Ovis aries: one gene and its partners. The protein of the gene in region 2 binds, or shares a complex with, the protein of the main gene of each other region. Links are inferred from orthologs where the notes say so. Each region holds a gene or a part of one and is shown on either strand. Other genes may lie near its edges. The genes, in order: BRD1, MEAF6, JADE2, EPC1, BRD8, MBTD1 and KAT7.

The links.
Region 1: MEAF6 (region 2) and BRD1 share a complex: the UniProt entries of both Homo sapiens proteins name them as parts of the MOZ/MORF complex. The link is inferred for Ovis aries from reciprocal best matches to the Homo sapiens genes MEAF6 and BRD1.
Region 3: MEAF6 (region 2) and JADE2 share a complex: the UniProt entries of both Homo sapiens proteins name them as parts of the HBO1 complex. The link is inferred for Ovis aries from reciprocal best matches to the Homo sapiens genes MEAF6 and JADE2.
Region 4: MEAF6 (region 2) and EPC1 share a complex: the UniProt entries of both Homo sapiens proteins name them as parts of the nuA4 histone acetyltransferase complex. The link is inferred for Ovis aries from reciprocal best matches to the Homo sapiens genes MEAF6 and EPC1.
Region 5: MEAF6 (region 2) and BRD8 share a complex: the UniProt entries of both Homo sapiens proteins name them as parts of the nuA4 histone acetyltransferase complex. The link is inferred for Ovis aries from reciprocal best matches to the Homo sapiens genes MEAF6 and BRD8.
Region 6: MEAF6 (region 2) and MBTD1 share a complex: the UniProt entries of both Homo sapiens proteins name them as parts of the nuA4 histone acetyltransferase complex. The link is inferred for Ovis aries from reciprocal best matches to the Homo sapiens genes MEAF6 and MBTD1.
Region 7: MEAF6 (region 2) and KAT7 share a complex: the UniProt entries of both Homo sapiens proteins name them as parts of the HBO1 complex. The link is inferred for Ovis aries from reciprocal best matches to the Homo sapiens genes MEAF6 and KAT7.

Annotation. Positions count from the first base shown.
Region 1 is NC_056056.1:225,165,466-225,170,061, forward strand, and holds the start of BRD1 (bromodomain-containing protein 1), read right to left. Parts: upstream 3,302-4,596; 5' UTR 2,612-3,301; coding exon of another isoform or gene 2,605-2,611; 5' UTR 1,076-2,604; coding exon 1-1,075. UniProt on the Homo sapiens protein: Scaffold subunit of various histone acetyltransferase (HAT) complexes, such as the MOZ/MORF and HBO1 complexes, that acts as a regulator of hematopoiesis.
Region 2 is NC_056054.1:12,337,973-12,342,124, forward strand, and holds part of MEAF6 (chromatin modification-related protein MEAF6), read right to left. Parts: intron 1,827-4,152; coding exon 1,739-1,826; intron 1,551-1,738; coding exon 1,505-1,550; intron 1-1,504.
Region 3 is NC_056058.1:43,744,128-43,747,710, reverse strand, and holds part of JADE2 (E3 ubiquitin-protein ligase Jade-2), read right to left. Parts: intron 2,536-3,583; coding exon 1,727-2,535; 3' UTR 1-1,726. UniProt on the Homo sapiens protein: Scaffold subunit of some HBO1 complexes, which have a histone H4 acetyltransferase activity. Acts as an E3 ubiquitin-protein ligase mediating the ubiquitination and subsequent proteasomal degradation of target protein histone demethylase KDM1A.
Region 4 is NC_056066.1:32,590,327-32,594,478, reverse strand, and holds part of EPC1 (enhancer of polycomb homolog 1), read right to left. Parts: intron 2,006-4,152; coding exon of another isoform or gene 1,989-2,005; exon of another isoform or gene 1,889-1,988; intron 1,247-1,888; coding exon 1,128-1,246; intron 1,049-1,127; coding exon 962-1,048; intron 1-961. UniProt on the Homo sapiens protein: Component of the NuA4 histone acetyltransferase (HAT) complex, a multiprotein complex involved in transcriptional activation of select genes principally by acetylation of nucleosomal histones H4 and H2A.
Region 5 is NC_056058.1:47,270,390-47,275,152, reverse strand, and holds the start of BRD8 (bromodomain-containing protein 8), read left to right. Parts: upstream 1-1,845; 5' UTR 1,846-1,854; coding exon 1,855-1,873; intron 1,874-3,046; coding exon 3,047-3,143; intron 3,144-4,763. Other genes in the region: kinesin-like protein KIF20A, read right to left, coding at 648-809. UniProt on the Homo sapiens protein: May act as a coactivator during transcriptional activation by hormone-activated nuclear receptors (NR). Isoform 2 stimulates transcriptional activation by AR/DHTR, ESR1/NR3A1, RXRA/NR2B1 and THRB/ERBA2.
Region 6 is NC_056064.1:35,303,197-35,307,348, reverse strand, and holds part of MBTD1 (MBT domain-containing protein 1), read right to left. Parts: intron 3,158-4,152; coding exon 3,010-3,157; intron 2,042-3,009; coding exon 1,959-2,041; intron 1,684-1,958; coding exon 1,449-1,683; intron 949-1,448; coding exon 871-948; intron 1-870. UniProt on the Homo sapiens protein: Chromatin reader component of the NuA4 histone acetyltransferase complex, a multiprotein complex involved in transcriptional activation of select genes principally by acetylation of nucleosomal histones H4 and H2A.
Region 7 is NC_056064.1:36,556,154-36,560,305, forward strand, and holds part of KAT7 (histone acetyltransferase KAT7), read right to left. Parts: intron 3,657-4,152; coding exon 3,546-3,656; intron 1,713-3,545; coding exon 1,521-1,712; intron 1-1,520. UniProt on the Homo sapiens protein: Catalytic subunit of histone acetyltransferase HBO1 complexes, which specifically mediate acetylation of histone H3 at 'Lys-14' (H3K14ac), thereby regulating various processes, such as gene transcription, protein ubiquitination, immune regulation, stem cell pluripotent and self-renewal maintenance and embryonic development.

The DNA of each region.
Region 1 (4,596 bases), on a different chromosome or scaffold from region 2:
TCTGCTTGCAGAGGTAGCAGGTCAGCTTCCAGCGCGCGGGGGGGATGTTCCGCACGCCGTCGATGGGCTCGATGAAGACAGTGTTGGCGAAGCCCACCTCGGGGATCCACAGGGCGCACACCACGTGGCCCCAGCGGTCGTCGTCCGTCTTCTTGAAGGCGCCGCCCTTGTTGGGGCAGAGTACGCAGTCGGCCGGCCGGGCGCGGGACTGCAGGCAGTGGCGGCAGAGCCACTGGCCCTCGGGGATGTAGGGCACGCCGTAGCACTCCTGGTGCACCGCCAGGTTGCACATGTCGCAGAAGAGGATCGCGTTGCTGTTCTGACACTCGCCGTCCATGCAGACGCAGCACACCGCGTCCTCGTCAATCAGGCACTGCTGCTCCCCCTGCTTCTGCTTCTCGCAGTGCGAGGCCTTCTCGAAGCGGTCCATGAGGAACTCGAACACGCTCTGCGACACGGCCGACACGCAGTCGCCCCTGCGCTTCTCGTTGACGATCTCCAGCCAGGCGTAGTCCTCCTCGTCCATGTCGTACTCCACCTCGTTGTCCAGCTCCTCAGCTGACTTCTCCACGAACTTGTAGTACACGGGGGGCCGCCGCGGCGCCGACGGGGGGCTGTACTCCACCACCCGCACCTTGGGCTCAGGGAGGGCGCTGGCGGAGGCGGGCGCGCCGTGGGCGCCGGGCGGGGCGTCGCCTTTCTTCTTGACCCGGTTGTTCTTGTGCCGCTTAGTTCTCAAGCACACGGGCGGCCGCTCACTGTTCTCCTTGTTGCTGTTGCACTCGCTCATTTCCTGGGCGGTGAGGTCATCTTCCAGGATGATCTCCAGGGGGTCGAAGATGCTGATCCTGTGCAGGCGCCCCTCGATCTCGATCTCCACCATCCTCTGGGCTTGAGCGTAGGTCAGGGTCTCTCGTGTGGGGGAGTGCTTGGTGCTGCCGGGGGAGGAAGGGTGCCTCGCTGCAGCGCGATGACCTCGGCCTTTCCTCCTCATTTGGCACTGACTCCCTGAAACAGACAGACAACACGTGAGCGCCATGCAGAAGACAGGAGAGGTGAAAACCACCCAGCACATGTGCGCAGAGCGAACCAACTGGCACTAAATCCAAACACAACTCCCAGGTAACCTGCCCGAGGCTCCCAAAATCACTCATCCTGGACTCATGCAGGCACCTCAACAACCGCCACCAGCCACTGCCACCAGGCCACTGCCCCCCAAGGGCTCCCAGGACCAGAGCAGAAGGCAGGCAGTCAGGAGGGCCCCCAGAGGCACACACGGGGACAAGTCCCTCCAGAATGCCGACGCCCACAGCTCACTGGTCGGCTTGGATCCACACCCCTCGCGAGTTCGGGTCACAGTCCCGAGCCCAAGACAGTACATGCACAGAGCTGCACTCCTGCAGGCTCTGGCCACTGCCTGACCCCCGCTGCTGCTCAGGAGAGAGCCCTCAGCCCGCCACTGTCGCCACGAACGCACCCTGCACAGCCATGCTGAGGCACAGGCCACCGCCCGCGCCAGGACCCATGAGGGCAGCCCCATACTGGCCTGGGCAGGCTTCACCCCAGGAGACCCCACCCAGCCCCTGCAGGGCCTCGGAAGTGGCCACCGCATTCCAGCCACCTGCCTGCCCCTCAGGGACCCTCTCGCTGCTGGCTTGACCACAGTGCTGGGCCATCATCCTGTCACAGTGAGGGCAACCCAGAGACCCCCTCGCCATCCACAGAGTGCTCCTCCTCTCTACCGGGTGCAGCACAGGCTCAAGCGCCTAAAGCCTTGGCCATGGAGACTTTCGAGCACTTGCTCTTGTCAGACATCCGCCATCAGCCACCAGCAAGTTCTACTTCCAGTCTCCCTCTCCTGACGATCCCGGACTCTGGTCCAGCACCCGCCAAGCAGGGTAACACCTTAGGAACTGATGACAGTGCCCTCTCCCCACTCCAAACCACCACTCGCCACTGACAGGAAGCAGAGTGATGCTGACGAGACTGGCTGACACTCGTGCCCGGTGGAGCCCAAGGCCCCCCGCCGGACAAGGCCCTGGGGAGTCGGCCAGGAAAAGGCGCCACACAGCGGCCTGCGCTGTCACACCTGAAAGGAAATCGCAGCCGACCTGAGATGCATTCCTTGAGACAGAGCCTTCCGACTGTGGTTTTCCTTCTCTTTTGTGAAACAGAAATGTTTCTGTGAAATCTGACAAGAATGCCCTACAAAGGGGAGCCTGAGAGCCCGTGGGCAAACCAACCCTAACCCACCTGCATCTCCACATCCCAGGGGCCCACAGCCCTGCACTCCTGGGGTGCAGTCAGCCAAGCTGCCCCCCAACTGGCCCTGGCCCTGCCAGCCCTTCCGGGGGAGAGGAGCAAGTCCCCCTGCTGTCCACACCCCAGCCTGCAGGAGGGCCCCCCGTGCAGCCTCAGGGGTCCTTTGGGGTGGGGCAGAAGCCACAGCTGGTTACTCAGCAGAGGAAAGGCAAACGTGTAATTTTCTCCTCCAGAGCACAGTACCAACAGCACTAACCATAACCGGCTCTTCAAAACCCACATGCTCCTGAAGTGACCGAGACTTTGTATCTGGCCACTTGCTACAAGAAGGACAGCACTTACTGGTCATGGCAGCTCTGCAATCTGAAAGCTCGATGGTGACAGGGACAAGAAGGCGCTGGTCACTCTGCAAACCACCTCACCAGGCCACCATTCCCCTACACCCCAGGCTCCAAACCTCCAACCTCCGTCCAGCTGGAGCTTCCGTGCAGGACAAAGGTTCCCACGTGGACGCCATTCACAGACCCTCCAGACCCTTCTGATAAATGCCCCCTGAAAAGCCCTGTGGCCACAAGAGAGGAACGCGGCACCCAAGACCGGTTCAGCTTCCAACACCGCCTTTCCCGCCTGGCCCTAGGAAAGCCACGAACACCCTCGCGCAGGGGCGGCATGCAGCGCCGCCCCCGCGACCCTTCTCGGGCGGTGGGCGGCTCCTCCGGCGGGGCCCGCCTGTAGCGCGTGCCCCGTAAATTACAACCAGGTCACTTCTTCCTGGGGGCCCGGAGGCCGCCCGCCGCGGGCGCGGGAGGGGGCGGCCGCGCGGGTCCGCGCGGCCCTGGAACAGGAAGTTTGCCGTCCGGGCTCAACAAGCCCAGCGCGTCCGTTACATAACGCGACCCTCGGGCAAACGCTCGGCCGGGGAAGCCGAGACCCCGGGCCGCCCCCACCTCGCCGGGCGGGAGGCGCGGCGGGCAGGGCGGCCTCGGCACCTCCACAGCCCGGCCTCCCTCCCCGTCCAGCCTCCCGCCCGCCGGCCTCGCCTCCCTCCCTGTCGAGCTCCCACGCCGCCCGGCCTCCCTCCCCGGCCCCCCGGCCTCCCGGCCAGGCCCTGCAGCCTCCCGACCGGACCCCCCGGGCCTCCCCGTCGGCCGGCCTCCCTCCCTGCCGGCCGCTCAGCCTCTCAACCCGGCCCGCCCTCCCTCCCTGGCCTTGCAGCCTCCAGACCGGCCCCCCAGGCCTCCCCGCCTCGCCAGGCCGACCTCCCCGCCGGCCCCCCGGCCTCTCAACCCGGCCGGCCTCCCTCCCCGTCCAGCCTCCCGCCCGCCGGCCTCGCCTCCCTCCCTGCCGAGCTCCCACGCCGCCCGGCCTCCCTCCCCGGCCGCCCGGCCTCCCTCCCCGGCCCCCCGGCTTCCCGTCCGGGCCTCCGGGCCGCCCTCCCTCCCCGCCTCTCCAGGCCGGCCTCCCGCCCGCCGGCCCCGGCCGCCCCGCCGCCGCCGCCGCCCCCGCCCCGCGGCCTCCCCCGGCCCCGCCGCCCGCGGACAATGCGTCGCCGCGGCGGCCCCAAACATGGCGGCGGCCCCAGCACCGAGAGGCCGGCGGCGGCGGCGGCCCGCGGGCGAGGCGGCGGCCCCGGCCCGCCCGGCGCACTCACCTTCGGGGCCGCGGCCGCGGGAGCCGGGCGGCGGGCGCGGGGGCCGGCGCGGCCGAGGCGGCGCTAATGGCGCCCGCGGCTCCTCCGCCAACGGCCGCGCAGGCCCGGCCCGCCGCCGCTCTGGGCGCGGGCTCCTGGCGGCGGCGGCCCGGCCCGGCTCGGCGCGGCGGCCGCGGGCTCGCGGGCGGCGGCTCGCGCGGGCGGCGGGGCCGAGCGGAGGCCCGGCGCGGGAGCCCGGCCGGCGGGCGGCGGGCGGCGGCGGCGGCGGGGCGGCGGGGCGCTGGCGCGGGGCTGCTCGGACGCCAGGGCCGGCTCGCTCGCCCGCTCGCTCCCCAGCGAAGCAAACAATGCGGCGAGCGCTCCGCCCGGCGCGCTGCGTGCGAGACGCGCCCCGCCCGCCGCCGCCATGACGCGCGGCCGCCGCCGGGGGAGGGGACGGAGGGCAGGGCCGCGCGCCGGCGCTGGGGCCGGGGCGCCCGAGGGGCGCGGGCTTCGGGAGGGGGGCGCCGGGCGGGCGACGGGGGCCGCACACGGGCTGTGGGGGGCATCTGAGGGGCGCGGGCTTCAGGAGGGGGGCGCCGGGCGGGCGACGGGGCACCGCACACGGGCCGGGGGCATCTGAGGGGCGCGGGCTTCAGGAGGGGGGCGCCGGGCGGGCGATGGGGCACCGGACACGGGCCGGG
Region 2 (4,152 bases):
AGCTTCAGAGAAGCCCAGTAAAACAGAAAGGGGAGACTGCTGATCCTTTTACAGGAGAACTGGATAAAATCTGCCTGTTTTGTTTTTCATTATTTTCTTACTTTACTCTTTTAACAAAAATATACAATGCTTCACTAATTAGCATACAATTCCCCTTTGGGACTATGCTAATCCATTCTCTTCCTAGTGCAGGTACATAAGAAGGCAAAAGAAACAAAAGCAATGCATGTTCGAGGAAAATTTTCAAAACAGTTTAAAAATAAATGCCCAAAATATAAAACTCCAAAATCCTTGAGATATGAAGACATAAAAGTACAAATTCTAAGAGAAAAGGTTGTTTCCTCCATTGACCAAAGATCAAGAACACAGGGGTCATTCCATAGAATGTGTTATACAAAAATGTGGGGACAAGGGAGAGATTTTGTACCAAGGAAAAAAGAGTGAAAGGCAAAGTAAACCATTCTGACAATCATAGTAAAGGGGGAAAAAAAAAGGACTTAGTCCAACTGATGACGTTGGTAGAAAGGAGTCAAAGCCACCTACCAAGTTTTGAAGGTGGGAGAATAGAGTTCTCTAACAAAATAACTGGGCAGACACACTTTGAAGAAAACGGCACAGCTCAGTTTTAGACAAAATGAGTCTGACTGAGTGGAAATATCTAGAAGACATTTTCTAGAATTTTCTAGAAATGCATGACTAAAGCTCAGGGAAATGAGTTAGAGACGAGGCTAAAAACTCAGAAATCTGTATACAGAGATAATAACAGAAGTCACTGAGTAGTTCTAATTCCCAAACTACCAAAATCCATTTTCCTCAAACCACTGCCCTAATGCAAACAAAACAACTGGACCCCACGACAAGATATGCCATGGGAAAGTACCCAGCCACAGTGCAAAACGCAGGGTGAGCTTCAGAGTGACCCGACCCGCACGGAGACCATCCAGTCCGTCTACCTAGAGTCTGATGCAGAAAGGCAAACCTGAAGCTCTAAGTCTCATTACGAGAAGTTAGAAAGGAGTCAGACTGTATGGCTTAAGTACACAGAATGATACAATTTCTCTACAAGGTAAATACAATCTGCTCTCCATTTTAAATTTAAGAACACACAGGTACATTCCCGTCATAGCATCAGAATTTCCTAAGAATGATCAAATTGGGTACACGGGGTTTATTAGATATGTCTGAAATGTTCCATGATAAAAGGGTTATTTTTAACTAAAAAAAAATTTCCTAAGACTTAACAGGAGTGAAAACACATTTCTGTGTCTTTGAGCAGCTAAAGTCAATCTTCATGTGACTGAAAAGGCAGGAAGGACATGGTAGTTTCTTCCACCAGAGAAAGACATGATTAAGGATATCCAAAAGGGCTCCTAACTTCCAGAAAGAGGCAAGAAAAAGATATGCAGTCTTCAGATACACAGTTGGACAGAAGTTAAATATAGGAGTGATGGTAGCTCAAATATAAATTGATGAAGTTAAAAAATAAATAAATAAATAAACTTACTCTTTTCAATGAGCTGGTCCTGAACTCCTGCCAAAGCACTCACTGCCTAAAAGACAAAACTACCAGTTACCAAAAAAATTATTACAGGTCTCAGGAGAGCACTCACAGACAGAAAGGAAAGAGACACCCTACTCACAGACAGACGGGAAAGGGAAAACTCACAGAAACTTAACTGAGGGCTTCCTTAACAATGGGCCACAGAAAGATCCTGCCCCCCACCCCCACCTCACTTACAGCTGCTGAAGTAACTGAGGATTTACTGAAGAGCCGCTCTGCTTCCTTAAACTTCCGGTTCCTTCTATCGTTCTTGCTATTGGAGTTTCTAAAACACACACAAGAAACTCATTGTAAGCACCAAGCTACTCCTATGGCTCAAGCTGAGGATGCCCCAGGACAAATATAAGGAAGTCTTTTTTTAATTATGAAGTTCATTACGGAAACACCTCCACACCACTTGCCTTGACCAAAATGACATTCATGCTGAATGCCTACATACATAGCAGTGTTTTCCAATGTATGGTATGTGATCCACTGTGACACATGGGATTACTTTAGCTTTAGGTTCAGAGTCATTTTCATGTATTAAATATGTATTTATTTTAATGTCTATTATTAAAAACATCTAGCACAGACTAGTGCTATGAAGTATCTCTGTTTAATAACCTGAGTTTAAAAGATTTAACGAAAGAACCAGGACTCCTCAGAGAAATGACTGCTGCCAGGCCTGGGACAAGAAAAGCACAAAAGGACAGCAAACAGCCAGGTGCTCAGATCACAGGGTGACATCAAAGGATCAGCTGGAGGGGCTCCCTCTGGCCATGTTTGGGACAAATGAGGCTTTCCTGGTGGCTCAGCTGGTAAAGAATCTACCTGCAATGTGGGAGACCGGGGTTCGATCCCTGGGTCCGGAAGATCCCCTGGAGAAAGGAATGGCAACCCACTCTAGTATTGTTGCCTGGAGAATTCCGTGGACAGAGGAGCCTGGCGGGTGACAGTCCCTAGAGTCGCAGAGCTGAACACAACTGAGTGACTAATGAGCATCAAAAACAATAATGATGGGTGTGTTGGGGTGTGAAAAGCCAGTGGGTTGTAAATTCATGATTTATGTACTCCTTCGTATAGATTTCAATAAACGAATTTGTACTAAATAATAAAATAAACTTTTAGCATAAAAAAGTGACAGTACTAGACCCCAATACACTGGGGGGTTTTTGGGTTTTAAGTCCATGCATCTACAAGGATTCTAGAGAGAGGGAGACAGAATGAAAGGGAAAGAAGATAAAAAGGGACAACTCTGCTTTCAGAATGCTAGTAACAAATGCAGAAGGAGCAGTGAAATTAGAATCATCATTTTGCAACCTCCTTTATAATACCTGATTCAGGTAAGAATCAACAATGGACACTAAACCCAGAGACACAAACTGGGGGAGGAGCATATCCACACTTCTAAAAAAGTATAACCTCTGAAATTAACTGTCAATTATGAAGAGAAAAAAATAACTTTTGCAATTGTGAAATTACATAATCAAACTTAGCAGCACCAACAATGGGCCAATCTGTCGTTTTGAGCTTTCTGATAACAGAAAGGCAAACAAGGACTTCCCTGGTGATCCAGTGGTTAAAACTGCATGCTTTCACTGCAGGAGCACAGGTTCGATCCCTGGTCAGGGAACTAAGATCCGACATGGCATGGGCAGTCAAAAAAAGAGAAAACAACTGGGAGGTAAACAAGAGGTACATAATCAGTAATGCAACATTTTTGCCAAAAGTATTTAAAGGATCCCTCATGAAGTCACAACAAGAAAAACCTACAATTTGTACATTCTACAAGATAATGTCATAAACAAGCTCACCACTGAAAATGTTGCTGCTGCTGCTAAGTCGCTTCAGTCGTGTCCGACTCTGCGACCCCATAGACGGCAGCCCACCAGGCTTCCCCGTCCCTGGGATTCACCAGGCAAGAACACTGGAGTGGGTTGCCATTTCCTTCTCCAATGCATGAAAGTGAAAAGTGAAAGTGGAGTCGCTCAGTCGTGTCCGACTCTTAGTGATCCCACTGACTGCAGCCCACCAGGCTCCTCCATCCATGGGACTTTCCAGGCATGAGGACTGGAGTGGGGTGCCATTGCCTTCTCCATGAAAAGGTTGGGAAGATCCTAAATTAAGAGACTAAAGACACATAACAGCCAAATGCAATGCACAAACACTACCTGGTTGAAAATGAGCTAGCAATGCATTTTGGGGGCCATTAGGGGAAATATGAATAAAGACTGTATATTAGATAATACTATTAATGTAGTGCTAATTTTCTAGGCATAATTGTGGTTACGTTAAGAAAGATGCTCTTATTCTTAGGAGGTATCTGCTAACACAATTAGGGACGAAGTGTCCAAGATCTGCTTTTAACTTTTGAATGGTTTAGCAGAAAGTATAATACACATATATGGAAGAAAGGAGAGATACAACTACAGAGGGGTGGCAGGAGGCAGATCTTTGTGGTGACAGAACAGTTCTATATCTTGACTGCGGTGGTGGTTACAGGAAGCTACCCACTTGATAAAATGATAGAACTAAACTTACACATTGTACCAAGGTCAGGTTCCTCCTTTTACCATTGTACTAAATGGTTACATAAAACCCAACCACTG
Region 3 (3,583 bases), on a different chromosome or scaffold from region 2:
GTGCTCAGCCTGCTCCCTATCCCACTGATTTGCGCTTTGTGTTATGTGAGGGGGATCCCCATGGTGAGACTTTTGCCACGCTGGTTTCACCGTCAGTCTCCTCGTGCAGAGTTTTAGGGTTCAGGAGAGCTCACAGTGGGCCCAGGATCCAAAATCCAACACCAGCAGCAGCAGAACAGCATCCTTGTCCGAGAGCTTGGGCTCACCTCCTTGGGTGTGTGCAACGAACATGTTTCTACACTTGGTTGCTAAAGAACTCCATTTTTAAAAAAAGTCCAAGTGACAAGTTGTCAGGTCCTGGCTGTGCTGTATTATGGTCAAAATATTCTTTGGCATCCACAGAATGATTCGACTGATTCACTGGACTTTTGCAAGGTTCTTGTTGGAGAAGTTCTGGCTTTACCAGTGGCAGAAGTGACCCAGGAGTAAGTCATAAAAGAAAAAAAAAAATGTTTTCACTGAATTCCTTTTTGTTTTTCATTTGTTCCCTGAGCTATCACCCTGGGGCCACTCCACTGAAACTCTTCAGAGCTACTACCTGGGACTTAGAGGGTGGAGCGGAGAAGGCAGGATGGTGACGGTGGGGAGGGAGGGGCTGGAAGGGCACAGTTGGGGAAGGGGGTTAAGGCTCAGAGGGGAAGAGGAACCAGGAAGATCCAGCAAGACTTCACACAGCCCCGGAAGGCCATCACTAACCCATCCTGGGCCCCGGGATCCCACTGCTTGTTGGAAGGAGTTGTTTCCAAAAGGAAACCAAGGAAGAAGCTCATCACTTAGCAGGAAACTTGAAAAGGCAAACGGTCTGGTCTGGTCAGCTGTCTGGGAGTGATCAGACCTCAGCCGAGACTGGCCCCGAAGGAAGGAAAGAAGGAAGTTGGAGTCCCAGAGCGATTCTCTGTAGTGGGTGAGGCTGAGCCCCACGCCCCTGACCGGGCACTGGCCCTCCCTCGCAGCCCTCCGCCGGCACTGGCGGCTGGCTAGCTGGGAGTCCCCTGAGAAAATGGCACAGCTCAGGAAGGGCTCTGGGAAACCCTCCCCAGAGCCGCCGAGCTGGGCGCTGGCAGGGGCAGAGCAGCAGGGGAGTGGAGGGTCGCAGGGTGGGTGGGCAGGCCTCAGATGATGTGGGTTGACCAGGAACAGCTGTGGTTCCCTTGGAACCAGCAGGCCCTCTTCGCCCCCTCAGTGCTTTCTCGTATAAGCTCATTGTGCTTGTGACAGTGAGTAGACTCTGGCTGGGTATCACTTATTATACTTCCTTGGGGATCAGTGAAGTGCAGCAGGACCCCCCCGCCCCCCGATTGACCCCAGTGGGATTTGGGAGCAAGGCGGGGCAGGCCCTGGGCTGGCCCATCTGCCATAATAATGCCCAAACGACAGTCTGTGTCACCCAGTGGCAGCGGGCGGGAGTCCTGAGCTCTTCATCACCTTGCCTACATGTAGCCAGGAGCCCAGCAGTACTGTGTGGCCCGGGCGGGGACGCTGCCATGGCCGTGATGGTGAACAGACCAGGGCTGGTCCTTGTGGCCAGAGCTGTGGAAGGAATCCTAACATCCTAGGCCAGCACAGAGGAAAGACAATAGTGTGGAATTCGAAACTTTTTATATTAAAAATAAAACCACATCAGAGTGGCAGCCTCAAGGGTCTGAGACACTCAGCGGAGATTGGAAATGGCAGTTGTCACTGGGCTGAGGCCTCATGGGGGGACCAGGACAGGGGAAGGGGTGACTTAGGAGGCCAGTACCCCCATGCGGACCACCTCCTCAGCCCCTGCTTCCCGGGGACCCCGCTGCACCCCACTGTCCTCAGCCTCCACATCTGAGTCGCTCATCTCCCCATCAGAGAAGTAGCCATCAGTCTCAGTGTCAAAGTGTAGGCTGACCTTTGGCCTCTCGGCCACAGCAGAAGGCGGTCCCGTCCCGGCATCAGGCCTGGCACCTGGCGACCTCCGGTTTCCCTTGCTCTCACGGGGCAGCCGGAGCCGGCCTGAGGGCTTGGGACTTGCTGTAGGGCCAGGCACTTGGACATTAGAGTCGGCAGCCATTGGGGCTGCCTCCTCCGGGGTCTCGGGGGCCAGTGGGGGGGGGCTCTCGGGAGCTGCTGGGATGGGACAGTCCCCAGCTGTAGGACTGGACGGCAGGTGAGAAGGTGTTCGCCGTGGTGGCTTCCTGGCAGGCGGCCCCTGACCCCCTTTGCTGCTGCCAGTATCCTGGCCCCAGGGCTTCTTGGGGGGTTTGTCTGGAGTCGTCCGTGAACCGGGCCCATCCTGTGGTGGTTTCTTCTTAGCAGGCAGGCGGGTGCGGCCACGGGCCTTCCTGGCAGGGTCGCCAGGTCGCAGCGAGGGGTCCCGCATGAAGCTCAGCAGTGTCTCCTCATCCTGCAACAGCTCCTCGGACAGCAACCCCGGGGCGGGGTCTTCGCGGTGCCCATTGTTGAGCGACCACTCACTCATGGCCATGTTCTCTGCGGTGATCTGCACTGACTGCGCCAGCCAGCTGTTGAAGAAGGTGCCGTCGATGGGGAACGAGGTAGACAGGCCTGGCCAAGGGGAGGAAAGAGGCAGGTGAGATGCCAGCAGGTGTGTGAGCCACCGTCCTTCCAGAAGCCCTCTCCCACCCTGCCCTGCACACATCGCGGACCTTCCTCCCTCTCTCCCTCTATGCTAGACCCGGCCGAGTTAACCTGCTCTGTCCATCCCACCTGCAAACACGGAACACCCTTCTCCCCAGATAGGTGTCCTGCTCCTGCGGACTGTCTTCATTGTTTGAGGAGCAGAGTACAAAGTGAAAATGTGGGCTCCCTATTCAAAAATTATTAAGAATTTCAAAGTGGCTACAGTAGAGCATTAAACCAAGCGAGGGCCCTTGGTGACTGCACAGGAGCACACCCAGCCCTGCTCACCACCCCACACAGCATCATCCTGGGAGCATAAGGGATAAGGAGCCCTCTGGCCACCAGGGGGCGCTGGGTTTTCATAAGTGTCGCTTTCCACAGCTTCCAAAGCAAGGACTTGGATAAGGGTGTCTGTCAGGGCCAGCTCCAGTTATGGGCTCTCCTTCCTTTACTGAGGTTTTGGGAGGCGGCCGCTGATGTTCCCATTAGATACCAAGCTGAATCCTTCCTGAGACTGAGGCAAATAAAAGATGACCTGGGGCTTCGGTGCTAGAGGTGAGGTGGGGCTTCCATGCTAGAGGTGACCTGGGGCTTCCTTGCTAGAGACGAGGTGGGGCTTCCATGCTAGTGGTGAGGTGCTCCTCTAGAGCACGCCCCTTCCCTGAGGAGTGTTCTGGAGAAAGCATGTGATATCCTGGGAGACAAAGCCCATGTCCAGGAGCCCCTCTAGGGACACCAGGCTTAATGGGGCAGCAGTCAAGAGGTGTGTGACAGACAGCTGTGACAGTGAGATGGGCTGGGCAAAGACCACTCCTGGGGGGGTCTCTGGTGGCTCCCAGAAAGTTTGCAGGGGATGAAGGGAGGGCCTACTTGAGGACATTCTGGCAGAGGGGGACAGGGACAGAAAATTATGGCAGGCCCTCACCCCACAGCATGACACAGGGTTCCTTGAAGGGCCAGGATGTCTAGAGGC
Region 4 (4,152 bases), on a different chromosome or scaffold from region 2:
GAGCAGAGCTAATCAGCACCACTTAGTTTCCAACGACTATTAAGCTACACAGCTATATGCCAAAATCAGTCCGCATACAAACGAAAGTGGCAAACCACTGAAGTATCTTCATTTCTTCTTGACAGTCATAAATCTGATTAATGTTGAGGTCATCTTGTAACCCGAGGATTATAACGTTAAAAAATAAATTCTTTTTTGCTGTACATCGGATTTTGGACCTTAGTTCCCAGGGATTGAACCAACACTCCCTGCATTGGAAGGTGGAGTCTTAACCACTGGACTGTCAGGGAAGTCCCAAGGATTATGGATTTTGATCTTATGTGACAATATATAATATGAAATTACCAAAATAAACCTTTAAAATGTGGAAATGGTAAACCTCCAACACAAAGTGTTAAACAAGAAACATGCTAGTAAAACATTTTGGTGATTTGCAATGAATCACTGCATGAATAAATTCATATAATGAATGGGTGAGTAGGCAAAACTCCCTTCACCAAACTTACACACATACATACACAACCTAAGGCAGCCAAGGGACAGTAAGGTGACTACCCCTTTAGAACAGAGGAACAAAACATCAATCGCATCCTAACTCAGCCTAGAGATTAAGAGGCCCCTTGAATTTTTTAAATGATATTTTCCTCTCAGATGTCTAGAGACACAAATCTCAGCCTTCCGTTAAGTTCTATAAATGTGCTTAAATGGCCAATATTTATCATGCTTTAGGTTCAAAAGTGATTTCTTTTAAGAGTAAAAGAAGTTATTTTAGCATAATTTTTAATACATTTTAAGAAGAATTAAAAGTTCTCCAGATAATGAGCTGGGTGGGGCTGTAAGTTAAAGAGGTACATTCACAGACTACAAGATCAGGCTTGAGGACAGGGTCTCCATCTCATTTGCGCTTTTAGGTTTTACTTTTTTACAATAGGAAGCAGAGGGTGACAGCTTCTATACTCACCTGTAATGTTCTTTCTAAACCCTGTATAGAGTGGCTATGATGTAGATTCAGGCGAAAGCCACTTTTCTGCTGGTTAGATGCAAGGCTCTATGACAACAGTTGGTAATTAGAGATGAACTCTGGTGGGAAACATGAGGGATAATCATAAGACAGACAAATCCCTCACCTGTGGCATGGTGGTGGCGGAATTACTACTTGCTTGCTGTTGCTGAATTTGTGCAAGCTGCTGTTTCTGCATGAGTGCCAGCTGCTGTTGATGTTGCTGGTATTGTTCGGCTGTAAATGCTGAACATAAAACGAGAGAACACTTTATAGAAACGCACAGCTATCACATGCAACTTACAATATACGAAAACACATTTAAGCATTTAAAAAAATTTGCGCAAAATGAAAGCATTTGAGCATCCTGTTAAAGATCACTTCTGAATGAGAATTTCAGCATTTTTTATAACCACGCTTGACAAGAGTGGCTTGAGTTTAAAGAGAAATAAAGTGAAACTTTGAGTTGCACATACCAAAGAGAAGTGCTCACTTCCCAAGCTTTGAAACCATTATTTTTTTGGTAAGCTGTGACACTTGTGCCAGACAGTGTAAAAGGTAATACCAGCTTTTTTCAACCGCATGTTGGAAATTCAGCTTTGCACTGAGCTTAAGAAGAGATACAATAATTACCATCTGGTGTCTTTATTTATTCATACTACTGTCCTAATCCATTCAGATGATCTCCAGCAGTTCTGTGCAGAAATACTAGCTGTTCTACATAGTTCTGAATTTTAGTCATTACAAATATTTCCTCCATATGAAATATAAGGTTGTTGGTTTATTACCTTTTTTTTTTTTTTTTAAAAAAAGAACCCATCCTTTAAGTTTAACAGGAAGAAAAGAGGCTCCAAAGGTTAATTAATTTTCCCCACCCAATTAACCCACCTGGAAAAAATCCAGTCAATAAGAACGGAGTTGTTTATGTTGGCTTACTGTACAGAATGATGTCTGAGGAAAGACACTGTGTTATGCTACTTATGTTTGTCTATGGAGAGCTCAGTTCTAAAAAAAACAAACAAAAAAATGTTCATTTATTACCCCCCCAAAAAGTGTGTGCAGTTTTTAAAAAGGAAAACCTTTTTCTTTTTTTTTTTTGCCAATTAAAAAAAAAAAAAGAAAAAAACGTACATACAATCACAACATCTGACTTTAAGGCTTCTTTAAGAAGCCTGTGGTGTTTGGGTAAGAATTATTTCAGAACAGAAAAAAAAGGGTTAGCATGCATCCTCAGTCACTAGGGAATCTATAAACCATGCATATTCCCTCAATCTAAGGTTTAATGTCTTCAAAATACTGTCAACTAATTTGTCATCTTTAAAGATGTTTTGATAATTTATTTAGAATATTACATCATCAAGTTTTGCAATTTTCCCTTATAACTCATGAGAATCTTTATCTTCTGGGGCAGAGTTTCTGCCTAGGACAACTAGAAAATACTTAGCTAGAAGTTAGGTAGAAATTCTACCATATTTTAAACAAGTCAGAAAACTGTGACATAATATTTCAGAAAACCTCTGAAGTTGCAGTACTTACACAGACTTTCATACTTGAGCTGAACTAATTTCCTGGGTTACAAAGGCAAAAAATCATTTGTTGGAAAAACTCTACCATTTATTTTCCTATTTTTGGTGTTACACATCTGTTTAGTTGATATATGTCCTGTGATGAGATTCTTCTTGTTATTTAGTCAGTCATGCTCGATTCTTTTGCGACCCCATGGACTGTGTCCCCAGGCTCCTGTGTCCACAGGATTTCCCAGGCAAGAATACTGGAATGGGTTGCCATTTCCTTCTTCAGGGGATCTTCCTGGCCCAGAGACTGAACCCATTATCGCCTGATTGGCAGGTGGATTCTTCACAACTGAGCCACCAGGGAAGCCCTGTTTTTTTCCTACTATGTTGGTAATCCTCAGCTCTGAACTCTGCAGGAAAAATTCTTTTTTATTGATAAATACATTTTTTTATTGCTAAAAGGATAATCCATAAATAGTTTCATAAAAGCAAGTTTCTGTCAAAATGACCATTTCCATATAACAGAAATAAGTTAAATCAGAACTTAAAAAAAATTTTTTTTAAATAAGGCTGTCTTGAAACAGATTACAATTAACATAATATTTATCTTTATGCTTAAAAAATTTCATAAAAAGAAACTGCTTAATGCCAAAAAGACAATTTAAGTATTGCTAATATGTTTTTGCATCATCTACTTTAATTTCCTAAGCTTGAGTGAGTTGCCTAAATCTTGAATTTCCTGGTAGGAGATGCTTAATAAACTTGAAAAAACAACAACAACAACAACAACAAAAAACCCCATTACTGGAAGGTTACATCATTACACACCTAAAAAACAATAATTTAGCATTCACTAGAATAGATCTGTGTTCAGAACTCCATTTATATGAATGAAAATATTCTTTTGCAGAACTTTGCTGGTGTTTGTGACTTAAAATTAGCAATATTAAGTTATAAATCGATTTCAATAAAGGTTCCAAATATTTTACCCTATTTAAGTCAACATTTCAGTCCTCAGTCTCTGAGGGTTTTGTGAATTTCATTTTTTAAACAACTGTTAACTTCCTAATGCAGATCTAGAAATTAAAAAAAAAAATGCGACCAACACTTTAGATCACTAACACTCACTGTGATTTTAGATCCCTATGTTAGCCTATTTCTTACATATCTCTAAACTCCAGAGTCTAGTTATAAAAATTTCCCTGGACATTTCTGATAAATGTTCTAGAAGAAATGCACAGTATCATATACACCAGAAGTGATGGTAGTAAAAAACATGGGTCTAGGGGCCAAGAGATACTGATTTTCCTTTCATTCTCAGCTTTATCATAATTAGCTGAGTATACCTAAGGAAATTACTTAATCTTCTGGACCTCAGTATATTTATCTAAAATATACAAGTACTGAATCAGGTGATCATTAAAGTCCTTTTCAAGACATAACATGCTAAAGGGTTTTAGATTTCTTCTGAAAAATAACAATTCCAATCCAAAAGGATGTATGGATGAGTAAGGAAAGCTTGGACAAACGTCAGGTAATAAATTTGGGCAAATAAAAGCTGAACTGGGTTTCACATTGTTCCTTACACAGGAAACTAAGATGACCTTGAATGCCATAAAATTCAAAGCCTAACCAAAT
Region 5 (4,763 bases), on a different chromosome or scaffold from region 2:
AATATTACCAATGCTTCTGCTCTCATGAAACTTCTACAGAAGAGAAGACTTCTGAGTGGAGCTGTTCTCAACTATGGCCATTTCCCTTTCAAGAGACATTTAATAATGTTAGGACAGGTTTCCTGGTTTTCACAAATGGGAAGGAGCTACTGAATTCTAGTCGGTAGAGGCCAGGAATGCTGCTTAACATCTTAAATTGCACAGGATAGCCCCCATAACAAAGAATTATCTGGCTCCAAACATCCATAATGCTGCACCTGAGAAACAGCTCAGCAGAAAGTTAGTTTCCTTAAATGGAAGGTACGGTTGATATTAAAACCTGAATGTACATTTCACCTACTTAATGGTGATATGACCTTGTGCAAAGTAACTAAAATGTCTGGGCCTCATGGTGAAGGAGAGACAAGGACTGCCTTTCCTCATAGGATAAATTGAGAGTAAGCGTTCAGTTTCATTAATGCAACGCAATTAATAGCTTTCTTATGGACACACAACTGTACATTTTTTACTTATCATGCTCTTAATTTTGAGTTGACCTGTCAAACTCTAGAATTGCTGGGTTTTTTTACCTCATGCTTCTCTGTATGGACAGCTAGTAGGCTGATTATATCACTTTCAGTCCCCAAGCCACTCTTCAACTCCTTTACCTGCTTGTCTTCCAGGGAGGTGGAGATGACAGAGCAGTCTGACAGCAGGTCCTTGCGTATAACAGATCCCAAATCTGCAGCTGTGGACTCAAACATGGGGGAGACTACGACCTCCTCATCGGACAGCAAGCCAGCTGGTGGAGAAAGGATCCCTTGCGACATGGCAGCAGGGGCAGTTTAGGTCTAAAAAGAGACAAGAGTGGGTAGGGAGGAGAACCTTAAGGGATAAAAGGGGCTGAAGAATTCGCCCTCTTTTCTAGGTAAGAAACAATTCCCTTGCCCCAGGGCAACCTAGTCTCGCTGCCTGAATTCCTACTCCCTTCTCCTTTCGACTACCAGCAAACGGGAAAGAGAGAAAGAGTTAATCATTTAATCCAATCTGAGGCAGCATTTCGGACCGCGAACAGGAATGAACAGATATCTAACTCCGAAAACATAAGGCCAAGTTCCAAGTAGGGAGCCTCCCTCAGCCGTGTCAGAAGCCCTAGGCTCATTCTCTATACCTCGCTTCTAGGCCCACGGTGAGGACAGAATTATTAAGAAAAACAGAAATGGCGGCAGTTCCGCTTTCTGAATGCCTAATCCGCCAGAGCAAAGGTGCCCCAACTTGACTCAAGTTCAGCCGCACACTTACCTAAAGACGCCACACTTCTACGGGACCGGCTCACTCACACCCCACAGCCGAAACTGGGCTTTCGGCAGCTTGAGAGGACAACCCCACCCACGAAGCGCACCTTTGTTTCTGATACAATGTTTTAAATTGCGCGCTGAGTTCGTTCGGCCAATCAGATAGCGAACCTTGCACCTACCAATCAGTGCAAGGGGGCGGGCGAAACCCGGAAACGGTTTTCTTAGGCTTGACCTCTCTGCTCAAATGTGGGACGGGTTACCAACTGTTGGATTTTGGAGCTGGGTCAACTGGAACTTCTGTTTATCAGTTTTTCTTGAACCCTAGGCATTTCTTTTCTAAGAAGCCTGAAGGAAATCCTAAGGCTTCAGCCACCATTCTCTGTTCTTTCGCACATTCCTTCTCAGGAACTCACAAGAATACCTGATTTGGGGCGCTGGTTCATCCTAGGGTGGGGAGAGGGGACTACATTTCCCAGGACGCACCGCGAATAAACGCTGGAACGCTATCTCCCAGAATTCCTTGGGCTTCAATTCGGCCAGAAATCTTCCTTCGGGGGTTGGAGACGTCGGGGCCAAGATGGCGACGGGAACGGGCAGTAAGTATCTGCCTTGCTCTTGCGTGGAAGGTGTTTGTAGAACCAAGGCCAGGCAACAGATCTGTCACACTCTTAGGGAGTAGAAGCAGTGATTCACCTGAGAGCCCAGAGCCATCAGAGACTTGGGCTCGAGCGGCGCTGTTAAGGCCAGCGGTTGGGGGTTGAGGGCCCAGAAGCGTGAAGTCTTACACTTAAGTAAGGCCGCGGAGTTTTTTTGCTTTTAGAATTTTTATTTATTGGCTGCGCTGGGTCTTCGTCGCTTTCCGTGGACTGTTCTCTAGTTGCCGCGAGGAGTGCTCCTCTCTAGTTGTGGTGTGCAAGGCCACGGAGCTTTGAGAAAAGCAGCCTAAGAAAATTCTTGTATGTTTGTCAGCTCTGCGGGGTGAGAGGGAAAAAAGGTGCCTTAGAGGCTCCGGCGTGCGGACAGAGATGCTGTGAGCCATATGGAGTGGCCGGGGTCCCAAAGAGTCATTTTCTGACGAACATTTGTGAGGCCTGTACTCACAGAGAGATGGGACATGTTAATCGTGAGCTTTTTCTGCCACTAGGGAAAAAATACATTTCCTGTATCTCAGCCATTTCCCTCTGTTTCAGGGACTGAGAAGGTCTTGTAGGCCTAACAGCTTGAGGGGAATGGGTGTAACTGAGAGAAGTAAACAAGTTTATGCTAAGAAGGAGGCGGGGCAGTAGCGGGGGTTGGCCGCTCGGAATCCTGGGAAATAAGGCCTGGGGTCCACTTTGGAATAAAGCATTCTTTTTTTTTTGGCCAGGGCAGAGCTGGGAGGTTGGTGGTTGGCAGGATCATGGGACCCACGTCCCCTCTAGGGAAAAGGCACAGACTTAACCACTGGACCACCAGGGAAGTTCCTGGAATAAAGCATTCTTAAAACTGGGTTTTTTGGAAGAACTGCCCTAAATTAACTTGACTTTTTTTTTTTTAAATATGGTAGAGTAACCATGGCATTTACAGAAAAATGTTTTGCCAGATAATCAAGTGCAGTTCTCAAGCAATGAATAGGCACCATCCTAGTGGTGGTGTTTACTAGAGAGGTGAAAATCAAGATTTGGTGATAGTGGCTCACTTTGTCCTTACAGGTTAGGACATTTTTGTATTAGACTTTTAATCCTCCCTTTGGGACTTAGTGCCTCAGTGGTTGTCTCTAAATCTTTCAGAACATAAGCTGCTGAGTACTGGCCCTACAGAGCCATGGTCCATCCGAGAGAAGCTGTGTTTAGCGTCTTCTGTCATGAGGAGTGGAGATCAAAATTGGTAAGGTATTTAGGATATCTGCTTCCTTGGGTATTAGAAACCGTTTTTTTTTTTTCCCCTTCATGTAAGTACCGGTGGATTCCAGTAGTTAACGTTTAAGCAGTAGTTAACAGCCTTCTTGAGATGCAATTACATATCACAAAATTATATTCACAGAATTCCCAGTATATTCACAGGATTTAACTTAATTTATTAAAATTATTAAAACTTATTAATATTTAATTTATTAAATTCACATAATTTACATAGGACCAATGCTAGAGTCTAATTTTACATTTTAAATACACTTGAAAGAAACCTCTTACCCTTAAGGAATCACTCTGCAAATCTCTTCGCCTCTCTAATATTTCCGCCTCCCTCACCAAACACTCATCTACTTTCTGTCTCTCTATAGCTTATTCTGATCATTTCATATAGATGGAATCATATACTTTGTGGTACTCTGGGGCTTAGCATAATGCTTTCAGGGTTCATGCTGGAGTATGCATCAGTACTTTATTCTTTGTTTTGATGAAATTGTAGTTCCTTGTATGGGTTTACCACATTTTGTTCATTTGTTGATGAACATTTGAGTGGTTTTTACTTTGCTGAATATTAATGCCGCTGTGAACATTTGTGTACAAGCTTTTGTGCAGGCATGTTTTCATTTCTCTTGAAAGAGTGGAATTGCTGGATCATAGTTGAGTTCAGTCACTCAGTCGTGTCCAACTCTGCTACCCCATGGACTGCAGCACGCCAGGCTTCCCTGTCCATTACCAATTCCTGGAGTTTACTCAGACTCATGTCCATTGAGTTGGTGATACCATCCAACCATCTCATCCTCTGTTGTCCCCTTCTCCCGCCTTCAATCTTTCCCAGCATCAGGTCTTTTCAAATGAGTCAGCTCTTCAAATCAGGTGGCCAAAATATTGGAGTTTCAGTTTCAACATCAGTCCTTCCAGTGAATATTCAGGACTGATTTCCTTTAGGGTGGACTGGTTTGATTTCCTTTCAGTCCAAGGGACTCTCAATGGATCATATTATAACTCATATTTATCTTTTTGAGGAACTGCTTTCAAACTAAAAAGTGGCCTCACCGTTTTACATTCCCACCAGCAATAAATGAGGGACCCAGTTTTTCTGCATGCTTGGCAAACATTTAGTCTTTTTGATTATAGCTATACTGCTGAGTGTGAAATGGTATTGTATTGTGGTTTTAATTTGTGTTTCTTTTAAGTACCAGAAAGTAGGACTGTGTGTGTTTTCCAATCTTTTTTTCTACCAGGACATAGTCTCATTTTTAACATTTGGTCTCCCCGCCCCCGACTTTTTTTTTTCTCTCCGTATCTAAAGTTACCTTTTAGTTGTCTTAAGTGTTAAAATTACTTAATAAACAAATTTGCATTTGTAGGGTTTATCTCTACTACTTTAACCATTCAAATGAGTTTATGAAAGCACCATTACTGATCACATGTAACACTTCTACAATTCTATGTATTTTTCAAATAACTTTTCAAAGAGAAAACCAGAATACTCTAGGTAGCAGCTATTCTTGAGCTGGTAAACACTGACAAAACAAAGCATGGTTATTTGCCGAATCTCAGATTGAGCTTAAATATAACTCAACTATAAACTGAATTC
Region 6 (4,152 bases), on a different chromosome or scaffold from region 2:
AATTCTTGTCCAATTAAATGTAAAGACAGGCCAAAGCAGCTTGTACTAATTCAGTCTTATAGAAAGCTCAATGATTACACCTGCTGTGGTTAGTCCACTGACACCAAGTTACCACATGACTTCTTGCTCATCAGTTTCTGATAAACTGGAAATCATTTTAATCTGCCTGGTTGGGCCATGTTCTCTGGAGTTCTTTTAGGTAAATATCAACCATGGTAAGCAACCAGTAAGCAAAATAATTCTGGGTCTATGGGAGGCTTACATCTACAATATAAAAGAGGGTAAGAGATAGGTCTTGACGGTTATCACTACAGTGAGACCCATTTGGGTTTCACGTAGGGAAGAAACTAAGCACCACTGCAGTGGCTGCTCTAAGTCCCCAGTAAAAAAATGAAAAACAAAATAACTTTATCTTAGGATGAAATATTCCATGACAAGTTTCACAAAGAGAAAAAATCTATAGCTTTCTATGATGGAGGGGGAAAGATTTTAGAAAGAGTTTTTTGGTTTAGAAGGATAGGTTTTTTAGTCTCCAAGCCTATTGTAAGCACCAAACATCTGTTTTTATTTTTAATAAAAAATTTTTTAAAAAGGACTAATTTTCAGGTTTACCTATTACCTCAAAAATCATTCATAGACTCTACGCTTTACCATCTATTAAATATTATGGTAATACTTTCTCCTGTCAATCAAAGACAAGTGCTTCTGATTTTTAAAAAGTCTGCCTCTTATGGCATACTGCACCTTTAAGCATAATACAGAATGCAGAGTTATCAGCTCTCACAAGGGATCCCATTTCTGTGCAAGGATACCAAGACCCCAGTTGGTTAACAATTAGGAAACGTATACAAACACCATGTGGTGACCCACTTTTCTTATGTCCTTTGTATTGCTGGGACTTGGTCTTTTTCTTCTGTTTTGATGAACCTGACTGGCTTTCTCTTGATGCTGAAAAATAAAGAAGAAAATTGATATCAGATAATTTCTTACAACTCTCAATACAACTCAGATGAACTACCTTTACCAAGACAATGATGTTTATAAAAGTACACAATGCTTCGAAAATAAGGGTCATTGTTCCTGCAAAACCATGAACCTCAATACCAGACAGATTTCATTATTTATTCAATAAGCACTTCTTATATGTTAATAAATTTTAGTCTGTAACTTTAAACTCACTAAAGGAAGTCTAGTTTAATTCGGTGGATGTTCTTAATGTTGTGTTTCTATAGTCATTAAGCAACTGACTACTGAGTTCACACTGCCATGGCACACACGGTCTGATTCTGTGATATCATGGTTGAGTCTTATCACGTAAGATCTTACCTGGCAACCAATCAGACATAGGTATATTCTTGTCCTGTAAGCTCACAAGATGATTTATGTGAGACAGTCCTTGGAGAATTGCTGATTTTTGCAAAAGGACACCTTTTCTTATACCAACTTACACTGTGATGCTGGAGGCTGTAGTTGATATCCAGTTAACTGACACCACCCTACAGGATAGAGGTCAGGGGACTCACAGTCTACCCACTGATCATATTCTTCTTCCCATCCATCAAAATGTATCCTCAAGAGACGATGAATAATTCGAGTTACTGTGGCTACACATATTAATCGTGGCTCCATGAGATCCACTGCTTCTAATTTCATCCCGACACGAAATCCGTGATTTGGAACATCCTAACATGGAGAAGCAAAACATTAACACTGGTGAAAAGAATAATGTGTAACTCCATCATCACTAGGATAGAAAAAAAGAGAAGTAACATAACCAATTAACAATTTAGACCAAAAAAATCCTTTATTGAAACATATGAAGGTGAAGCATGTAAGAACTAGTTAGGAAATGCATTCATTCCTAATAATGAAACAAAATTTGGAAACAAATCTCAACTCCTATGTAAAGGAAATACCTACATTGTTTAACTAATATGTATGTGTTTATTTAAATTTACCTTATTAAACAGTTTTACTGGTGCTGCAATGGAGCCAGTTTCCCTGAGGTAGTCAAACCATTTAAAAGGAAGCTTTGTGTAACCTGGAAAACACAACTAGTTTAACTAGAAGTTCATTTAAAATTAGTGTAATATAAAAATGCAGATATAAAGTAATTCAGTACACATTACAATCTCATGAGCTAATGCTGTAGAGTACAATAATTCCTCCCTGTTACATGGCTCTTCCTGTTTTTATAGACAGAAACAGGTGCACTCAAGTATCCTATAAGAGCTAGACTTTTGCTTTTCAATCCTAGGCTTAGAATAGTCTAACATTTAATATTTTCCAGTAATATTTTTCTTTCTTTGTAAGAACAGTGGCTAGGCAAATACTGTTTTTACAGTCTTCTGTTTGGCTTTTCTCCTTCTTAAGAGAAAAATCCAAGGCTCAGATATTGAAATTAGGAAAGTCACTGGTTAAGCCATATGAACTATTTAAGGGTGTCATTTTTTTTTAAGTCATATGGTAATTTTAATTTTTTTTTTTGGTAATACCACCTGCCTTGTGAGACCTTAATTTCCTAACCAGGGATTGAACCCAGGGCCCTGACAGTGAAAGCTCCAAGTCCTAACAACTGGAATGCCAGGGAGCTTCCTCATACAGTAATCTAAAGATGAAAACTTGCTTTCTCTCAAAGGCTACAGTCCATTTTTTAAAAAAAGTTTATGTATGTGATAGCCCTTTGAGCCTACATCATCATCTTAACAGGGCTTGAGAATACCAATTCTTATTATAAAATGTACAAATGCTCAGGAAAATTCTCCACCAATTTATTAAAGCTAGTTAGGTTACAGGTCTTGATGTTTTCAGACACCCCACAGCTCTTGATACAAACATATACATATGTAACACACATATGTTTATACATACATATTATATTTTCAAACAGCAAATAATCTAGGGCTAAAAATAAAAAGAAATCTAGGGCTGTGGTAAACAGTGTAAATAGGTACTATGTAAAAAGAAAACAAGGATGAATACCCACTGTATATATTAGAAAAAAAGTACCTCTGGGTGGAGTGAGTTCAATCATGTTAATTTCACAGAAACCAACAGGGAAAATAGAAGGGGAGGTTGCATGATAACAGAACCAGTCAGATCCATCTGCTGCTTCTGAGCCATCGATCCCAATCATCAGGAATCCATCAGCCAGCACCTTTTAAATTAAGAGAATTCCAAGTATTTAAAATTAGGTACCACTATTATAGAAATGATCCTTTAAGTGACATTCTAAAAGAAAGCAAAGTCTATTACATAAAGATCTCGTGAAAGTGAGAAATGTTTACTGAACTCTCTTAAATAACTGAAATTATAATGAAAAACAAATCTGCATAAATTCTAGGGTGTGCCAGAAATAAAAGCGTGGTTACAGGGAAGTGATTTTAGAGGTCTAGGGAAAACATGCTCCTGACAAGGGCCAAGGCTGTTTTCTCCTGTGGCACGAAACAGGGCTGAGTGCTCTTTTACAGTTCAACCATCTAGTCTCGGCTAAGCTTTAAGTCTCATTCAGTAGGGACTCTACTTATACCCTTCTGACTTTCACATAGTGGAGTTTTCCTAAACGTTTCCCATCTTCCTCAAGCTCCGGCTTTACCTCTTTCATGCTCCGGATAACTGTGCTGCTCCATGACAGGAACTGCGTGAGGGACCTCACAGTCCATCCTTTGCGCATCAGACTGCTCTACGTAGTAGGGCTTCCTTTGCCTCTCAAGACAAACCTCTCCATGTCTCCCAATCCCCCTTACATTAGAAGTATTTTATTTTGAAACAGTTCACACTTAAAAAAAGGTATATACAACAAATTCCTAAATACTTTTCACCCAGAGACCCAATTCAAGTTATATCACTCAGTCATGTCCGACTTTTTGCGACTCCATGGACTGTAACCTGCCAGGCTCCTCTGTCCATGGGGATCCACCAGAGAAGAATACTGGATTGGGTTGCCATGGGCCCCTCCAGGGGATCTTCTCAACCCAGGGATCAAACCCAAGTCTCCCACATTGCAGGCAGATTCTTTACCATCTGAGCCACCAGGGAAGCCCAAGATTACTGGAGTGGGTAGCTTATCGCTTCTCCAGGGGAACTTCCTGACCCAGGAATTGAACCAGGGTTTCCTACATTGTAGGTGGATTCTTTACCAGCTGAGCTATC
Region 7 (4,152 bases), on a different chromosome or scaffold from region 2:
GCCTCAAGAACTATGGACGGAGGTTCGTGACACTGTACAGGACGCAGTGATCAAAACCATCCCCAAGAAAAAGAAATGCAAAAAGGCAAAATGGTTGTCTGAGAAGGGCTTACAAATACCTGAGAAAAGAAGAGAAGAGAAAGGCAAAGGAGAAAAGGAAAGATACATCCATCTGAATGCAGAGTTCCAGAAAATAGCAAGGAGAGATAAGAAAGCCTTCCTCAAGTAATCACTGCCAAGAAATAAAGGAAAACAACAGAATGGGACAGCTTAGAGATCTCTTTAAAATTAGAGATACCAAGGGAGTATTTCATGCAAAGATGGGCATAAAAAAAGGACAGAAACAGTATGGACCTAACAGAAGAAGATATCAAGAAGAGATGGCAAGAGTAAACAGAACTATACTAAAAAGATCTTAATGACCCAGATAGCAACAATGGTGTGATCACTCACCTGGAGCCAGACATCCTGGAGTCAGGAAGTAGTGGAGGTAACAGAACTCCAGCTGAGCTATTTCAAATCCTAAATGATGATGCTGTTAAAGTGCTGCACTCAATATGTCTGCAAATTTGGAAAACTCAGCACTAGCCACAGGACTGGAAAATGTCAGTTTTCATTCCAATCCCAAAGAAAGGCAAGGCCAGAGAATGTGCAAACTATCGCACAATTGCACTCATTTCACATACTAGTAAAGTAATGCTCAAAATCCTTCAAGTTAGGCTTCAACAGTATGTGAATTGAGAACTTCCAGATTTATACAAACTGGATTTAGAAAAGGCTGAGGAAGCAGAGATCAAACTGCCAACATCCATCGAATCATAGAAAAAGCAAGAGAATTCCAGAAAAACATCTACTTCTGCATCATTGACTACACTAAAGCCTTTGACTGTGTAGATCACAACAAACTGGAAAATTCTTAAAGAGATGAGAATACCAGACCACCTTACCTTACGCCTTCTGAGAAATCTGTATGCAGATCAAGAAACAACAGTTAGACCAGACACGGAACAACAGACTGGTTCTGTCTAGTCAAAGCTATGGCTTTTCCAGTAGTCATGTACAGATGTGAGAGCTGGACAATAAAAAAGGCTAAGCGCCGAAGAATTTGAGCTCTTGAACTGTGGTGCTGGAGAAGACTCTTGAGAATCCCTTGGACAGCAAGGAGATCAATCAATCCTACAAGAAATCAGTCCCGAATATTCACTGGAAGGACTGATGCTGAAGCGGAGGCTCCAATACTTTGGCCACCTGATGTGAAGAGCCAACTCACTGGAAAAGACTCTGATGCTGGGAAAGATTGAAGACAGGAGGAGAAGCGGACAACAGAGCATGCGATGGTTGGATGGCACCACCAACTCAATGGACTTGAGCTTGAGCAAAAGGGAAGCTTTGAGGCAAACCTGAAGTGCTACTGTCCATGGGGTGGCAAAGCATTGGACATGACTGAGCAACTGGAAAACAACAATCAAGACACCCTAGAGCTTATCATCACCATGGTCATGGACCTTCAGACAACTTACCATGTGTCGGCGGAGTATTGTTTGGCTCTTCATGTATTTTAAACAGAATTCACACATGTAAAGACGTCCCAGTCGTGCATATTCTTCAGGATAGGGAGAATGGTACCAAGTATCAAGCTCATAGCGACCAAAAGCAATTGTTTTAATCATGTTGCTCCCCTCTGTGATTTGGCCTTGCAGCCTTAACTTCTCCTGTGTTGCAGAGAAGAAATCAAGTTAAAGGAGGATAAGAATTAATCATTTCTATTGTTGTAAGCTGCGTGCATGCCACCACAACCGGCTATGAAAAAAATAGTTTCTGGCTTCTAGCTCATGAGTAACTTACACTGAAGAGGACTATGGGGGCATGGGTCACCAGGAAGGCTAGAGAAAATGTACTGTCTACACTGCCCAGAGCACAGGTCTTGAGAGTGGCTTTTCTCTGCTACCTACCCACTTGGGCCTAATCTCTTGAACATCAGAACAAGCCCTTCGTAAAATTTTACTTTTTATCAGTCTGAAATAAACAGAATTTTAAAAGACCATCTATCACAAACTCCCTACACCTTAACAAACATTCTAAACCTAAACAAAAGCTTCTCGAGAATGCACTTCATACGTGTGCAAAAGCTTTTATAAAGAAAGCTGTATGGATCTGCATGACATGCACCCATGCTGGCCATGCTCTCAACTTGGGTCCTTTAAAAAACACTTTTGAAACACGGATGATGCTTTAATTCTGGAATTTAAAGCTAGAAAGTAGAAGATATTTTTGAATACCTGTCCCCACTCAGTGGCTATGAGTTAGTCACAGAAATAATTCTGAAGAATAATCAGGCAGAGCTCTGAAAAGCTGGCCTAGGAAATGTTCAGTACCAGGGTAAGATAGAGAAAACTGGCAGTGGTAGCCCAGCCTAAATAAGGGCAGCAATCAAACCCTGCCTCTCCCAAAATTTCAACAAGTCTCCTCTATGGAGCCTTATACCAAGGTCACAGGACAAAAATTTCTGTAATTAACCAAGGTCAGTAACAACTGTTGCCATGAGCTTCTAGATCTAAATCAGCCAGGTCCTTTACCCTCCATTAGGTAAAATACCCCACCCTGAAACTTCTAACCAGTCACTTAATGTTACCCTTCCAGCTGGAATTTTCTCTGCCTTGAGGCTATAAAAATTGGCAACTAGCCCAAGAAAGGGGTCAGCTCTCCCTTGAGCCAGTCTGCTGTTCTAATAACATCTCCCACTCTAAGAAACTCTGTTCTCCTCTCATCCTGCCTCATGTCTGGAAATTCTTTTCCAACCAGCCCATGGACCACTATATCATCAAGAATTCTTAAATAAAGTATTTGATTATAAATTTTTTTAAAAAAAAGGAAGATGAAATTCACTTTACAAACTTTAAGTTTCTTTGAAGTGAAGTCGCTCAGTCGTGTCCGACTCTTTGCGACCCCATGGACTGTAGCCTATCAGGCTCCTCCGTCCATGAGATTTTCCAGGCAAGAGTGCTGGAGTGGACTGCCATTTGGACATATTTAATTCATTCAATCAGAATTCTAAACTATCTGACAACATAGTTGTCAGATTCTAAATTAGCTAAACTATCTGACAACAACCTTGATCATTATTCCTCTCCCATTCTTTTATAGCTACAATGAAAGGCTGAAGCAATCCCACAAAGGGGAGTTCCTATTTAGGTTAAGAGGACAACAGAGGGGTACCTTCCAGTCTAGGGGTTCTCAGAATTACAAATTATCCAACTGACACAAAGGGGCACCCACTGTTCTATCCAGATAACTACCTCTACCAAACAGGTCCTTCCAGGAGTTGAGGTGGAGAGGGAAAACTTTAAGGGACAAAGGAAGGGAGGAGGGGTAATTAATTTTAAATATCAATGGGAAGGAAGTCTCAAATAAGGATGTCCGGGGGAAGGGAAAAAGGGTCAAGCAGCAAGGTATGTTTAATCCCTAGCAAACTGACTGCTAATTTTCCTTGGCAGTTCCAAGTGACCCTCACAAGTAGTCCTCATCTTGGAAGTTTCAATACTCACCAGATCCTCTGAAGCACGGGCTTGTGCTCTTCGGAAAAGATCCAAGTCATACTCGCTCGTCAGGTTTTCCAGGAGAGGTTCCCGAGTGTTCCCATAGGTCTGCCTGTGTTCCTAGGAAAATAACCGGAGCATGATACTTTCTGCTTCTAAGAACTTGCTGCTGCTGCTACTGCTAAGTCACTTCAGTCATGTCTGACTCTGTGCGACTCCATAGACGGCAGCCCACCAGGCTCCCCCATCCCTAGGATTCTCCAGGCAAGAACAGTGGAGTGGGTTGCCATTTCCTTCTCCAATGCATGAAAGTGAAAAGTGAAAGTGAAGTCACTCAGTCGTGTCTGACTCCTAGCGACCCCATGGACTGTGGCCCACCAGGCTCCTCCGTCCATGGGATTCTCCAGGCAAGAGTGCTGGAGTGGAGTGCCATTGCCTTACTTAACCTATTGCCTTTCAACGGATGCCAACCAGAAGGCCAAGAATAACCATACTTATTTATTTAGTACCTGCTATTAATATTTGCCAGGCATTATACTAGGCACTAGGGATCAAGTACAAAACAAACTATTTATCAGACAGGTTAATTCCAGAAGATACCTACTATCCACTCTAG